2 linked regions of the Macaca fascicularis genome follow. The protein of the gene in region 1 binds, or shares a complex with, the protein of each later gene. Links are inferred from orthologs where the notes say so. Each region holds a gene or a part of one and is shown on either strand. Other genes may lie near its edges.

The links.
Region 2: DPM2 (region 1) and PIGC share a complex: the UniProt entries of both Homo sapiens proteins name them as parts of the glycosylphosphatidylinositol-N-acetylglucosaminyltransferase (GPI-GnT) complex. The link is inferred for Macaca fascicularis from reciprocal best matches to the Homo sapiens genes DPM2 and PIGC.

Annotation. Positions count from the first base shown.
Region 1 is NC_088389.1:16,048,735-16,056,235, reverse strand, and holds DPM2 (dolichol phosphate-mannose biosynthesis regulatory protein), read right to left. Parts: upstream 4,208-7,501; 5' UTR 4,168-4,207; coding exon 4,165-4,167; intron 3,551-4,164; coding exon 3,461-3,550; intron 2,686-3,460; coding exon 2,583-2,685; intron 1,816-2,582; coding exon 1,757-1,815; 3' UTR 1,143-1,756; downstream 1-1,142. UniProt on the Homo sapiens protein: Regulates the biosynthesis of dolichol phosphate-mannose. Regulatory subunit of the dolichol-phosphate mannose (DPM) synthase complex; essential for the ER localization and stable expression of DPM1.
Region 2 is NC_088375.1:30,039,620-30,047,101, forward strand, and holds PIGC (phosphatidylinositol N-acetylglucosaminyltransferase subunit C), read right to left. Parts: upstream 4,321-7,482; 5' UTR 4,212-4,320; intron 3,088-4,211; 5' UTR 2,850-3,087; coding exon 1,956-2,849; 3' UTR 1,685-1,955; downstream 1-1,684. UniProt on the Homo sapiens protein: Part of the glycosylphosphatidylinositol-N-acetylglucosaminyltransferase (GPI-GnT) complex that catalyzes the transfer of N-acetylglucosamine from UDP-N-acetylglucosamine to phosphatidylinositol and participates in the first step of GPI biosynthesis.

The DNA of each region.
Region 1 (7,501 bases):
TAGCCTGAGGTCAAGAGTTCAAGACCAGCCTGACCAACATGGAGAAACCCAGTCTGTACAAAAAATACAAAATTAGCCGGTGTGGTGGCGCATGCCTGTAATCCCAGCTACTTGGGAAGCTGAGACAGGATAATCACTTGAACTCGGGAGGTAGAGGTTGCAGTGAGCTGAGATCATGCCATTGCACTCCAGCCTGGGCAACAAGAGCGAAACTTCGTCACAAAAAAAAATTACAAAAAAAAAAAAATAGAGTGGACACTGCTGGTGGCCTCAGTGGCTGGAGCCTGCCTGGAGATGGGGACAGATGCTGAGTGTGGCAGGAGGTGAGGAAATGCAGGAGGCAGATGTGGACCCCCTTTGGGGAAGCTTGGTGGTGAAATGGACAGAGGGAGACACTTAGTGGGAACTACTGGGTTGACAGAGGGCCTGTAAGTGGGATCCCCGAGCACACTTAGGAAACAGTGGGAGAATCCTGTGGAGATTTTTCTCACAACAGGGTGGGGCCATCTGTGACCTCAGGCTCCCACTATAGTAGTTGGAGGTTGGTGGATTAGGATCCAGAGCCCAAGGAGGCTGCTCTGCCTGGACTGGAGGACAGAGTATGGAGCAGGTAGGGACAGGGCGGGTGTCTGCAGTTGGCCTCTTTTTTCTCTGTGATGAGGAAGATACCTCTGCCAACTGGAAGAAGAGTGAGGGTCCCGGGTTTGAGGAATGGGGGTTTATACCAGGTGCGGTGGCAAATGGGAGAGCCAGCTGCCCAGGTGCGGTGGGACTGCTGGAGGGCTGGGGGCTGGGCCAGTCCAGCCAACCTGAACACACAGCAGCCTTCGCTGCTCAGGGCCACGTTAAGTTGGGCTGTGGGGCTTTTAGGGGAGTGGCACAAGGGTCCCTAAAGTAATAAATCCAACCTGCCCAAGCTGGCACAGAGGAGGCATGGCACAGGGGTGCCAGGGCCTTCAATGACTCCCAGCTGTGAGCTCCATTGGGTAGGAAGCACATCTCTCCCAGTCCCTGCTTTATCCCCAGCGCACGGGGTCAGGGCAGAAGGCCCCTGAGTCAACCCCACTGTACAGGATCTCCTGACCCAAGACCACTCCCAGCCCGCTCCAGCCCCGACCCTGGGTAAACACAGCACAGAGACAAACACATGATCAGTGTTTATTGGTCAGCTCTCCCAAACAGGCCAGCCCTGGGGACCTCCATGAGGAGCGATCGGTCAGCAGCTAATATGCCTTGAGGCCCAGGGCTGGTCCTGGGGTCTGTCAGTCCTTCCCCGGGCGTTCCAGGTCCAGAAGGCTTTGCGGGGTCTTGGGCTGTGTCAGGCTAAGGAAAGCTGCCTTGCTGGAGGAGCAGGACTTGTGGAGGGAGGTCAGAGAGGTCACACATGCGGCCCTAGAACCCGCTAAGTCCAATGTCAGCATGTGACAGGAGGGGAAGTGAGGCAACATGGCAAAACCCGGGGGAAAAGGTGGCAGGGAGTCTGAGAGTGAGGTTGGGAGACCAGCATCTTTTAGGCCCTGAGCAAGAAGGGGGTGACTGGAGTCTTCCAGGTATTCCTCCCTCCTAGCTTCTGGAAGTGAGAGTCAGGGAGGGGGCTCCGGTCAGGCAGGGGTAAGCTCCATGTCATGGGGACTCTGCAGGACAGGCAGGCTGGAGGCGCCACTGTGCCTGGACAGGTTCTGCAGGCTCCCCTACTTGGTCCCTGTGCTGGAGGGGAAGCAGAGAAGGGGCTGGCAGCCTCATCCCCGCGGGACCTTCACTGAGCCTTCTTGGTCACCCTCTCGCTCTTCAGCATCACGTAGGTGATGAACAGTCCTGGAATACATAGACCAGAAAGGCCACATAAGATCTAAGCTCAGGGCTGCTGGGAGGCCAGGGCACGACACAGCAGAGCCACCCACACGCAGGGCTGTGAACCTACCCAACCACTCTCCAGGGAACCTGCTTATCTCCCTAGTCATTCGTCAAGCCATAGGTCCACTCACATTCATTCAACAAACACCAGCTGAGTGCCTGCCTCAGGCAAAGATGCTGCATTTAGTGTTTCAGATTCCAAGGGGAACAAGATCCACCCATCTATAGATCACCCAGTCAACCACTTGTCCACCTATATACCTACCCACCTCCTATACCTCACCCACCCACCCATCCATCCACCCATCATCCAGGCACCCGGCTATTGACTGACTCATCCAAATGACTTTCTGAGCACAACCTCAGTGCCACAGCCCATTCTAGATGCACAGTAATGATGGAGACACAGTCCCCGCCCCTAGGAAGCCATGAGAGAGAGAGGTGCAGGAATTAGAAGCCAGGGTGACAAGAGGGTGACTGAGGTGTGAGCAGAGCAATGATGGGGTTGGGGGCAGGAAAGAGGGGGACAGGTCATTGGAGTCCAAAAAGCCTGGGGCACCAGGAAACCCAGAGGTTACTGACTGGCAACCTCGAAGGATGAACAGGAAAACCCCAGGGGTGAGTTCGGGGCAAGGAGCTTCCAGCAGTGCCAAAGTGTGGAAGCATGTTCAGAGGTGGGGTCCCCCCGAAACCCTGCCCGGGGTCAAGGGGAGGAAGTGATGACTTACCCACAAACAGGAGCAGTAGGAGGCCTGCAGCCAGTGGGATGGCGACAGCATAGGCTCGGGGCAGGAAATACTTGTGGATGACATGCTCACTGTCGATGAATGGCTGGCATCGAGGGCAGAGCTCTGGTGAGCCTTGCTCGCCTTGCCCAGCCCCCAAGCCCAAACACACCACCTCTAGCATCTAAGGGGCTGGCCCATTCAGAGCACTGGGCCTGCATTTGCTTTTCTTTAAGATTATGGCATTTGGGTGTCATGGTTTGTTTCCTTCCTTAATTTCTTATTGGTATTTACCGGGCACTTGCTTTGGTGCCTGCCATAGGTTGGTGGTGGGGACAAGAGAACAGGGGACAAGAGACCAGCCCTAAGGCACTCACAGGCTAGCAAATAGTACATGAGGAATCCTCGACTGACTCCCAACCTGGGCCTCCAGGGATTCTTCACTAATATTTTTTCCCTAAAGGATAGCAAGTTCTGCACTTCCAAACACACTGCACTTCTTAAGCAATGACCAACACGTTTTCCCACAAGAAAAAAATATCCTAAAGGCCTTCACAGATATCACTGGCGCTCGCCATGCCTGAGTCAGCAGGCTAACCCAGAAGGAACATAACTCCCCCAAAAGTCAAAGCAAGCTGGAAACAGAGTTTTAAGTGTAGCGGCTAAGGATGCAATCTTGGGCCAGATCCTTCTCCCCGAGCCTCAGCTATCTCATCTAAAAAATGCGGCACCACTGGCATCTTCCTCATAGCGTTGTTTTGAAGATTTCAAGAGATAAGGCAGGCAATGAAGCCAGCGCCGTGCCTAGAACCTACATAGAAGTTGCTTTGGCGGTGCCAGGGCTACGGGAAGGTGAGCAGCGGACGGGGAGAATGACATACCAAGAGAATCACCCAGGCGGTGTAGTAGGTGAAGATGATCAGGCTAACGGCGACGAGGCCGAGTCCCACCACCTGGTCTGTCCCCGTGGCCTGGAGAAAAGGGAGGTCTCAGCTGACGAAGTGACTCTCTATTTTGGCGTACTAATGGAGGCGGGGCGTCGCGGCCCAATCACGGTCTAAGCTTCCCATTCAACAGATGCTAGAGGAGGCCGGGCGCGGTGGCTCAAGCCTGTAATCCCAGCACTTTGGGAGGCCGAGACGGGCGGATCACGACGTCAGGAGATCGAGACCATCCCGGCTAACAGGGTGAAACCCCGTCTCTACTAAAAAATACAAAAAGCTAGCCGGGCGAGGTGGCGGGCGCCTGTAGTCCCAGCTACTCGGGAGGCTGAGGCAGGAGAATGGCGGGAACCCGGGAGGCGGAGCTTGCAGTGAGCTGAGATCCCGCCACTGCACTCCAGCCTGGGCGACAGAGCGAGACTCCGTCTCAAAAAAAAAAAAAAAAAAAAAAAAAAAAAGATGCTAGAGGGCTGACTAGGGATCAGTTTCTAGGCTGGGAGAGAATGCCAGGCCTCCGCGTTATCGTCCGTACAATAGGGGGGGCGGGAGAGCAATCCCCGTTCCAGTGCCCATGCCCCAGCTTCTGAGTACCCGAGACCCCACCCCCAGACGCCCCTATCTCCGGCACTCTGTCCCAATCTCACCATTTCCCCGCGCGTTCAGTCACCGGAGCCGCAAGCCACATCCGGTTCCGGATTCACGCTTTTCCGGCTTTGGGCTGCGGAGCGCGCCGGGAGTCGTAGTCCCCAGGCCGGCTCAGGCCCACGTCGTCGGAGACTAGCAGGAACCGCCTCCTCCCCTTTGCATATCGAGGAAGTGTAGTTCTCAAGAGCATTGTGGGGCCGGTTGCTGCCCGAATCTCCCTAGGGAATGGGACCGAGTTGGGGACCCAGACTCCCTGGCCTTCATGGCCACAGTCCTGTCGCCGCCCCACCAAAAGCCAATCTCTAAGTATCCCAAAGTCCTGGGGTCAGAGTGAGATGGGAGTGCGGGATCGGAAGTTCCATTTTTCAGATGGGAAAAGCGAGGCTCAGAGAAAGGTAGATCCCAATCCGAGTCAGTGGTGAAGCCGACACGGGAACTGGGGGGCCGTAACTAGTCTGTAGGTGGGAGAGGCGCAGAGAATGTTCACTTTTCAGCCTAGGATGGGCGGGGGAGGGTCTGTCCCCAGCCCGCATGAATGGGGAGGATTTGGATTGGTGGAGAGGGGGCGCCCTCCTCACCATCGCCTGGCCTCCTGGGCCACCCTCTGGATGTCCCCTCCTTTCCTTCACCGGCTGCCTCTCGCAGCAGCCCAGACATGTTTCGGACCAGAACCCACGCACAGGCCCCTCCCCGATCTTGGAGGATCCTTCCTCTGAGAACAAAGGGATGTTGGGCCAGATCATCTTCCACGCTTCTTCAGCTCCGAGATAGGAACGCGGGCCCCCACCACTCACCGGCCGGCTGCTCCCCATCCATCCAGCCTCACTGGGACGCCACGTTCCCCAGGGAAGCCAGCTGGGAAGGGTTTTTTTTCTTTCTTAGAAACGGAGTTCTATGTTACCCAGGCTGGTGTCGAACTCCTGGGCTCAAGCGATCCTCCCAACTCGGCCTCCAAAAGTTTACAGGCGTGAGCCACCGTGCCCAGCCTCCTGTGCCTTTTAATTCACTGACACACTTGTTCATCCGGCCCTGTCAGCTCCCTGAGGGTAGGATCTGAGATTGCTGCTGTATCCCTGGCACCCCGTGGAGGCTTGGCCCAAAGTAAGAGGTTTTTTTTGTTTTTTTGTTTTTCCCCCAGAGATGGGAGTCTCACTGTCGGCCAGGCTGGAGTGCAGTGGCGTGTTCTCAGCTCACTGCAACCTCCGCCTCCTGGGTTCAAGTGATTCTCTTGCCTCAGCCTCCCGAGTAGCTGGGACTATAGGCGCGTGCCAACACGTCCAGCTAATTTTTGTGTTTTTAGTAGAGATGGGTTTTCACCGTGTTGGCTAGGTTGGTATCAAACTCCTGACCTCAGGTGATCCGCCCACCTCAGCCTCCAAAAGTGCTTGGGTTACAGGTGTGAGCATCGCGCTCGGCCCAAAGTAAGAGTTTTGAACCAGCCAGCTTTAAAATTCAGTGATTGTTTAGATCCTGGAGTATAGCATCTGGACTCCAGGCCTCCCTGAGGGGTTATGTGGAGGCCTTTGGCCTGCTGTCCCCACCTGGGGGGTTTGGGGAGAGATGTACTCTGAGCCTGGCATGGTTCACTCCCTCTGGCATTTATCTCGTTGGTTTGTTGGAAGCCCATCCTGTCACTCAGGCTGGAGTGCAATGGCACAATCTTGGCTCATTGCAACCTCTGCCTCCTGGGTTCAAGTGATTCTCCTGCCTCAGCCTCCTGAGTAGCTGGGATTACAGGCAGTCACCACCATGCCCAGCTAATTTTTCTATTTTTAGTAGAGATGGGGTTTCTCCATGTTGGTCAGGCTGGTCTCAAACTCCTGACCTCAGGTGATCTGCCTCCTAGAGCCTCAGCCTCCCAAAGTGCTGGGATTATAGGCGTGAGCCACTGCGCCTGGCCAAGAGCAACATTTTTAAACCTACAATCCGATTCTTTTCCCTTCTCTCTCAGGAGACTTTGGGCTCAGCTAGGAGCCCACTTTTACCTCCCTCCCCGGTTGTGCATATAACAGAGGAAGGGGCAGAATCCGCCTTCAGGGTTTAAAGAGGCCGTAAGTGGGGGTCAGCCCTGAGGAGTGGGGTGAATGCTATCCTGGGATAGAGATGGAGCCCTGGTGGCCTGATTCCTCCTGGCCTGGCCAGTACCATTGTAGCTTCCTGCCACCTCCAAGCTCATTAAAGACCCAGAGTGACTTGCCTGTCCCAGAGCGACTTGGGAGGGTCAGAAACAGGGGTGAGGGGCCCAGGGCAAGCCTGGGCCTGTAAACGATGGCAGCCTGGGGCTTTAGTTTGGGAACACATTCACACCTCCTATAGGTCAGGCTGCACACTCCCGTTGATAACCCCATCTGCAGGTGAGGAAACAGGCACAGTTATTTGTCCTCAGGCATGCTCCTTAGAGGCCACTTGATTGCAGAGAAGGTCTACAGGGCAGTGGTTAGAACTTGGCCCTGAGGACAGAGCTTTCGCTCAGTATGAGGCTGGCAGGTAACGGCCTTCTGTTTCCTCCTCAGGAATCTGGAATGATGAAGGTGGTGATGATTGTGCCTGTAGCCAGGACCGGGAGAACCCTGGACCCCTACATCTTCCCCACCCCTGGAATGTCACTATACATATCTGACTTCCTTCTGATGTTGCCTTTGACCCTAAAGTCAATATGATAAAGTAACAAGGTAAAAACAAAACAGCAAAAGAAACAAAAACCGAAACATTTAATTTTTTCCCCTCAAACCAAGACACTGACACTAGGCTGATTTCCCCTAACAATGTTATTTTCTACAACAGAAGCTGGGACAGAGGAACAAACACAGCCCAGTCAAGTAGTGGTGGCAACATTCTGTTAGAAAGGAGGGGACTCAAAGAAAAAAAAGACACCTCCCCCCACCTCCTTGATCACCTCCCTAAAGACAGAGAACATGGACACCCTCCATCCTGGCAGACATGCCATGTGGTCAGTTTGTGCAGTAAACAGGAAAGAAAAAAAAAGAAAAAAAAAAACCCTAAACATATTGTAGACCTTTATTTTTTAAATCTCCTAATAAAAACGTTAAACTTTCAAGAAGATTCCAATCTGACATTGCATAGACCAATTCCTTTCCAAAAATATCTCCGATATACTCTCCATCTCTCTCAATATATAGAATTTGAAGTCCAGGAGCTGTGGGCGCCTGGTGGGAATTCACTGAGCTCAAGGGGACAGGAGGGCTGAGGACAGGGCTCCCACATGGGAACAACAAAGCCAGGCTTTCTGGCCTCTGGCTCCAGCCAGCATCAATTTGGTTGTGGCCGAATTCTCAGTCCCATCACCCTGGCCCAGGGCCTGGCGTGGGAGGATGT
Region 2 (7,482 bases), on another chromosome or scaffold:
ATAAACAAAAACTACAATTTCATAGAACTCTTTACTATCTTCAACCACCAACACCTAGCCCTGTTCCTGATGTGGACTATAGAATAATTATGAGGCATGCCTCTATTGAGACATGAGGCCAAACCAGGAGCAGGCAGTGGACAGATGCTTTGGGCTCCAGAGGTTAGTCCCTGAAACCCTTTTCTCCTCATTGGCTAGTGTCCTTAAATATAGAAAGCAGTCCAATTGACCTTGCGGAAAACCACCAATTTTTATCACAAAACACAATATTCATCTGCCCAAATAAAACTCTGAAAAAGAATGTGACATGAGAAGCGCTGAAGACACTAGTTCAAAGTCATGTCCCAGACATTCTTGAGAAATTTATGCAAATAAATATATTATTTTTTAGTAATACCACTCCCTTGACAAAATTTCTGATTTGAAGTTAATTCCTAGTGATAAAAGGACAGTACAGAAACTTGCCGCAAATGAATTACCACAGGAATAACCAGCTATCCTGGGAGGTGCCTGCTGCATTTGGCACCTTGTCTCTGCTCTCTTTAGGTTTTCTTACATGTCAACTTAAACAACACCTAATACATTAGTACTAGCTATTACATAGTGCTGATGCTAATACATAGTGCTTCGTGTCAGGCATTCTTCAAAGCACTTTGCATATATCCCATTTACCACAATTCTAGAGGTAGATACTTTTATTCCCACTTTACAGATGAAAACTGAGACATAGAACAGCTGTGGCCTAAGATGTGATGATTTATTTCCTCCTTAGACAAAATGGATTGCTCCCCATTACCTAAAGTATAGAGCCCAAATTCACAGCCCTCGAATTGCTACTCAACCTCCCATTCTGACTTTTTCCCAATATCCCCTCCCAAAACTCCCCATAACCCTGAAGTGCCATCAAATATTGTCCCATCATCGTGCCCATGCTAAGGACAGATGTGGTACAGTAGTAATCTTATGTTGCTGCAAACGTGTTTTTAGCCTGATTAATTTAAACTTGAGACAGAATTTACAAGTCAGATTTCATATTAAAAATCAGATATACAGTTACTGGGACTTCTTTTAGAATCCTATCTGGAATTCTAAGGGTCTATGCACAAACTGTGAATAGAAACTATCAGTTGGAGCACTGTAGCAGGTGTCTCCATTGGACATCTCCATTTGTTCACAGTTGCCATCAGTCACACAAAGCATGCCAGTTTCACTTGCTTCCGTTACTGACCTGGCCTCTAAAGGCCTTCAACACATTGCCCTAAAACCATCTTTTGCCTACTTAAGTCTCCCTATCCTCCAAGACTAAGCTCAAATGTCACTGCCTCTCATAAGTATTTCCTAATTATTCCAGCTGAAATTTATCTCCAGCTTCTGAATTCCCCCTAGCATTCTGCTTATTATGACACATCACACTCTGCTTTGTAATTAGTTGTGTATATGCTTCCGTAACAACAAGGTAGAAACTGAGTCAAGGTTAGGTAACCAATTCTGTGATATTGGGCAACAAAACTGAACACAGCACCTTGTGTTCTAGGATTTGAGCCCTAGATAAATAAAACAGCATTAGCACATTGAAAAGGGTAGAGAGAAGTGACTTTACACACACACACACACACACGCACACACTCTTCACTCTTCATGCCCCTCTGCCTACTGTTTATGTAAAAATCATGAGACAACTTGATGAATGTGTTATTTTTTTAATAGAAACCACATCACTTCATATGTTACAGCATGTAATTCAAGAGGGTCCCAGAAAGTATTTTCATCCACAAAATAACGGAAAGGATAAGAACCCGCACCACCCAAGCCTTTGGTTCATCTTTTTTGTTTTGATCTCTGTTCTCTTACCACAATGACATGCTGCTTCCAGAATGGAACTCTGTCTTTAAGTTCTATACTAGTTAGGAGGCTAGTCTATCAGCTTGCCTTAATAACGTAATGGATGTCCTAATTTAACTGAGGAACCTGGACAAGTCTTCCTTGATTTCAGCTTCATCCCAAGGCCCATGAATGTTTTCTTTAAAAAGCTGCAAGCGAATGAGGTAGAATGGACAGAGACATGAGATAGACATCAGCAGAAGGGCAAAGAGTATGGCTCCCACAGCACTGATGGACAGTAGGCCTCCTAAGGCTGAAAATGCAAAGAGCAGTGTGACCCCCACATAGCTCCGGGGAGTACATGCCTTTAGTTTCTTCTGTAACATGGGCCATAGGGCAAAAATCTGAATGGCAAACGTCACCATGATGAAGGCATGCAGGGACCGGGGAAGACGTGAAGCCAAGCATACAGAAGCAAAGATGGCCATGTTCAAGGATAGCGTGCTGGACACAATGGCAGCATTGGCACCATAGTCAAAAAAGATGAGGTGGCCTAACAGCATGAAGACTGACATGGCATAGATGGTGTCAGTGCTGACAGACTCTGTAAGGGTTTTCAGCACTGGTGAAAACCCATAAGTGAAAGTAATGAAGACTAGGGCACTCTTCAGGTCAGCCCATCGGGTCTGCCCACTCTTCTTCCGCCCTTCACCTCCATCAATGAGATCAAACAAAACATACCCAATCAGTGAAGAAGCCAGGCCAGTCCCAAAAAGCCAATGGGGGGCCAGAAGACCCTCATCCATATACCACCAGATAACCACAAAAACACAAACACTGCACAGCTGCTGGATCACTACACTGGACTCAAATACCACAGCCCAATATTGGTATTTCCGAGCATGGATGTTTTTCCGGAGCTCTTCCAGGAATCGCCGGTCCACATAGTTATCAGGAAAGGGCTGTCGCTCATACAAGACCTTCTGCCACTTGACCTCCTTGGTGCTAGTTACAGGTTGGGCACACATTATCCTTTCATTCAAACTCAGGCCAGTTTAATCATCGCCCTCACAGAAGTCCAGGTGGTTCTTGTTCTTTATGAAGTTTTGAAATGAGACCTCCCTGGAAATTCCATGCTGTGGTTGATGTTCTATCAACCTTTCCTTGTTTTCAAAGGCAGCAACCCAGGCTAGGCCTACAACAGATGAATTTGTCTCTGAGGCAGGACAACACAGCCAAGTTCCTAGAAAAAGAGAGACTGTGAACCTACAAAAGTTGTGAAAGGTCAAGAGTAGTACTGAGTTAAAGTCAAATCAACTCAGTTTACTAAAAGTCTGAGCAAAATGTATGTGGTAGTCACCTTATTAATTTGGGACATTAAAACTGCATTTCAGACTTGAAAATTATAATTCCTTGAATAATAAAAGACATCTGTTAGCTATCATTTATTGAGTGCCTACTATGTGCTAAATGCCTTATGTATCTTCTTTCACTTAATCCTCACAACCTTGCAAGTTAGTATTAGTCCTGCTTTGGTAAAAAAGCTGAGATTCAAGATGCTTAAGTAACTTTGCCCTAAAGTAACAGAGCAGAGCCAGGATTCAAACCAAAGTCTTATCCCAAAGCCTGTGTCTGACACTGTATCTCCCTCTAAACCAGTTCTTAACTCAGTGGTTCACATACCCCTTCGGTGTATCACATTGCATGTTTATATCCGGATTTGTGTGAATTTATACGGATAATATCCATAGCTTTTATTGGTTCTCAAAGGCATGTTATATTTTTTAAATTACCAATCCAAAGACAATAGTAAGCTGCACCATACAGAAAGGTATGAGCTCTACAGTTTGTTTAGCCAAAATCAAAGACTCAAAGAAACTAGACTCTTCTTCCATTAGCTGAGCTTAGCATCCTTTAAAGAGCTATCAGTCTACTCAAAACAAGGAAACTCTTGTGAGGATCCAGAAAGGTAATCATCCCTTTTTCACAATGAGAAAACTAAGAGTCAGAAACACCACAGGCATCCGGCAAATTTAAGGAAAAAAAATTTCATATTGCCCGACTTTATTTTTTCCATGAAGACCACGACAAGTGTTGCTTGGCAGGCCAGACACCGTTACCCCGCTCTCTGCAGCAGGGATCCCAGCCCGGGAATCTTAAGGCCGCCGCCGAGGCTGGAGGGTTCGCGACGCCCAAAAGGGCAGCGCCCGCCCGCAGAGTGGGGCTGGGAGGGGACAGGGTAGGGTAGGGTAGGGTAGGGTGACCCCAGGGGTGCGCCTTCACTCTCCGGGCCTCCCACTCCAGCCGCCACCCCTCACTCAGCCTTGAGCCTGCGAGAGACAGCAGAGGAGAAGGAGCCCCGGAAACACTGACAGTTACACGGAACCCACCTGCCCGAGAGTTCCTAGGGATGCGCAGCTGGGGGACGGCGGCACCCAGCCTTTTTCCCGCTCCGGGGCGCAGGGGCTGCGACTGTGGCGGAGCACTTCCGGGTCTGCCGCAATCTCCTCAGCGAGAGCACCCTTCCCCAGCCGGAACCATCGCGACGTGGCTGCTGCCCCCTCCTGGCTGCTCAGAGGACCTCCGGACTCCTCTCCTGCAGACTGGCCCAAACCCGAATGCTCTGAGCCTAGGAAGGCAAATCTCCAGCAATCCCCTATTGAAAGATGGGATGTGCCATCTGAAGGGCTGGGTAAGGCAGGAGAGGACAAGGAAAGAGGCTGGGCCAGTGGGTGAGAGATAATGGCAGCTTTTGTTGCGCTCCTTTTATTAAGTCAGGCCCTCAGCTGGGACTTCCCATGCATCCATGCGTTCATTCCACAGATACTGACTGAATGCCTGCAGGTAACAAGCCCTCCTTGGGGGTGCTCATGATACAGCCGTGAATGAAACAGACAAAAATTGCTGCTCTCATGAAACTCTCTTTTTTGGTACATTGACCTTTACACTGATTATATCATCTTCTCCCTCAAAGAGGACAAATCTAAGGCTCAGATAAGTTGAATTTGTCCAAGGACAGGCACCTGGGAAGTAGATGAACAGAGATCAATATCCAGTTGTCCATAGATTCAAAGCTTGGTTCTTTCCTCTTTAACTCCTAAAAGAGGAAAGGAGAAGATTGCTAATTAAACTGAGTTCATAGAAATATTAAAGGATGTATAAACAAAGGAAATAATAAACAAAGGGATGTAGTAAAACACGGGATACAGTGGATACAAAAGTCAGAAAACATGACCCATTTACTAGCTCAGTGACTCAAGGCAAATCACACTACCTGACCTTGGATTTCTTCATTAGTAAAATGGAGATGACATTATTTGCACTTGGCTACTGTATAAGATGGTCAAAGAGTCAAATATAAAATATAAAAATGTTTTGTAAAGTGTTCACTATATGGCTGCTATTAGCTGACTTCGGCCATCGTAATGATAGCAATGTTTAAGTGTGATACATTCTGTAAAATGTTCTCTATTTCCCTCTAGGCTTCTGTTGCAAAATTTGACAAGATTCCTTGGCTTAGTGAGGCCAGCCTCGTAAACAAGCCACTAGTGCTCAGCCTCCCCAGAAGGTAACCTCTCAGCCACTGAGGGCAAAAGATTTACGAAACATCTCACAGAAGATGATTTCTTCTTAAGGGATGATAATTATACAATTATCAGAGGGCGCATTTGATCCATTGAGAAACTCAAGTCAAGTGCTTTAAAAATAGAAATATTCCAGGTTTCTCAGACAAAAATGATCACTGAGTATAGATCTGGCTAGAGGAGATGAGATCTCAAATTATTTCCCTCTACCACTCAACAGTATAAGATAATTTTGTCGCTAGACACTGTCACTTAAAACACTTCCATCCTCTTTCTCACCCCACCTTTTCTCCACTGCTGTAGTCTGAAATTTTCACATTTTTACCATCAAAAGTCTAGAACAGTAAGTTCCCATCTTTATAGAATAGTAACTCTGTATGTAACTTTGAGGTACCCTCCTACAATCTTGTTAGTCCTATTCCTTCCAGACAGACTACTATGTGACACATACATCTATTTTTCAAAATTGCAGGAATTACATGTCTAGGGAGCATTTCAGCTGTCTCTTGAAATTATTGGGTTACCATGTTCCTTCTCCATTTTTGATGAAATGGTTCCTAAGTGTAGTGATAAACCCCACTCTGGAAAGGGGACATGGACAGAAGGGTAGGTGTGAAGCAGTGTTGGGGTAAATGAAAGAAACCAGAAGGAGGGCAAAGAAAAGGTAGGCATAGAGGCCATTCCAAAGGTACATGACAGACAAAAAAGGATCCACTCCTTGGCATGTGAAACAGCTTGTTAGAAAAGCCAGACTCCCCGAAAAGGGTTTCTCCTCCTGTTGATAACTACCATGTACCCTCCTGCCCATGGATAAATGACTTCGTGAGCGAATTCCCATCACTACCTCCACATCCCCACTTTAGTAACACGTACCCTTACTTTGTCTACTCTACTTTAAAAAAAAATCACATTCTCAGTAAATAGGTACAGTTTTATGTATTTTCAGAACAAAATTCACAAGTGCTTTCAAGTGCTCATTATTCAGTTGTGTTGCTTTTACATAATTTTGAATAGGTCTAAAGCAGATTTTCAGAGGTTCAATAAACTCAAAGACCTATTTAAGAAACAAAAGCACTAAGTGATAGAGGGCTTATTAAGAGTTGTTAATGCTACATGGATCAGCATGAGTAAGGATAGTCTAGCATATTTTAATTGAGGGTGGGACACAAACTCACAGGCCCATGACAGTGAGATGAGGGGCATAATGAGTACAGCTGGCCAAACAGGACTGCAGTGAATGGAAATCACCTCCCCACTTCAGCCCACCCGCACCCCAGCAGTGTTACCTGCAGGCATGTGAGTCCAGAGGCCAGATCCACTGGGTCTTCTAATAGTACTAGAAATCTGGATGTTTTATGTGAAATTGCTAGTGTTTGATCTAATAGGGTAATATCCCACCATCCCATACTACCCCCATGTCCATTAGACCTGCCCCAGCAGCCAAGAGCAAAGCATCCTTGTGCATGGCTCTCTTGCCCCCAGCTCCCTTGGTCTCTAAGTATATAAGCCTTTGGCAGAGGGTGAAGATCAGGGAGAAGGGTAGGCCCAGAATACAACTGGCCTTCCGCAGCACCTGTTCAATTTCACAGCCAGGTCCTGGAGGGTCAGAGCAGACAGTCTATTGACAGCCAACTGGAAAGGGAGTGGGTAGTTTTTCCTCCAGCCAGCCAAACCTAGGCTAGGCACAAGAAGAAATTACCTTAGGCAGGCAGTGAAGCTCTACTCATCGCTATTCTGGGAGGATTGGGGTAGCAATCTCAATTCTTGTTTAGAAAAATGTAATACACCTACCTTACAACAAAGGTGACCGAACAGCACCTCTGAGGTGCCCTGAACTCTCAGGAGGACAAGACAGGAATGTAAAGTCTTTTGAAAGGATGGTTTAAGTATCAACAGATCTTAAGGATTAAAAGCTCCTCATGTGGGACAAAGCTCTGGGTTCCAAGCTGTTTATTTTTGGCAAAGCCCCTTACTGAGACTTTGGGAGAAAGTTCTCAATGTGCCTTAAGCGTTACATACCCTTGAGCAAAGAGTTCTAATGCAGAACAGTCTGAAAAAGATAAAGGAACATTTAGCC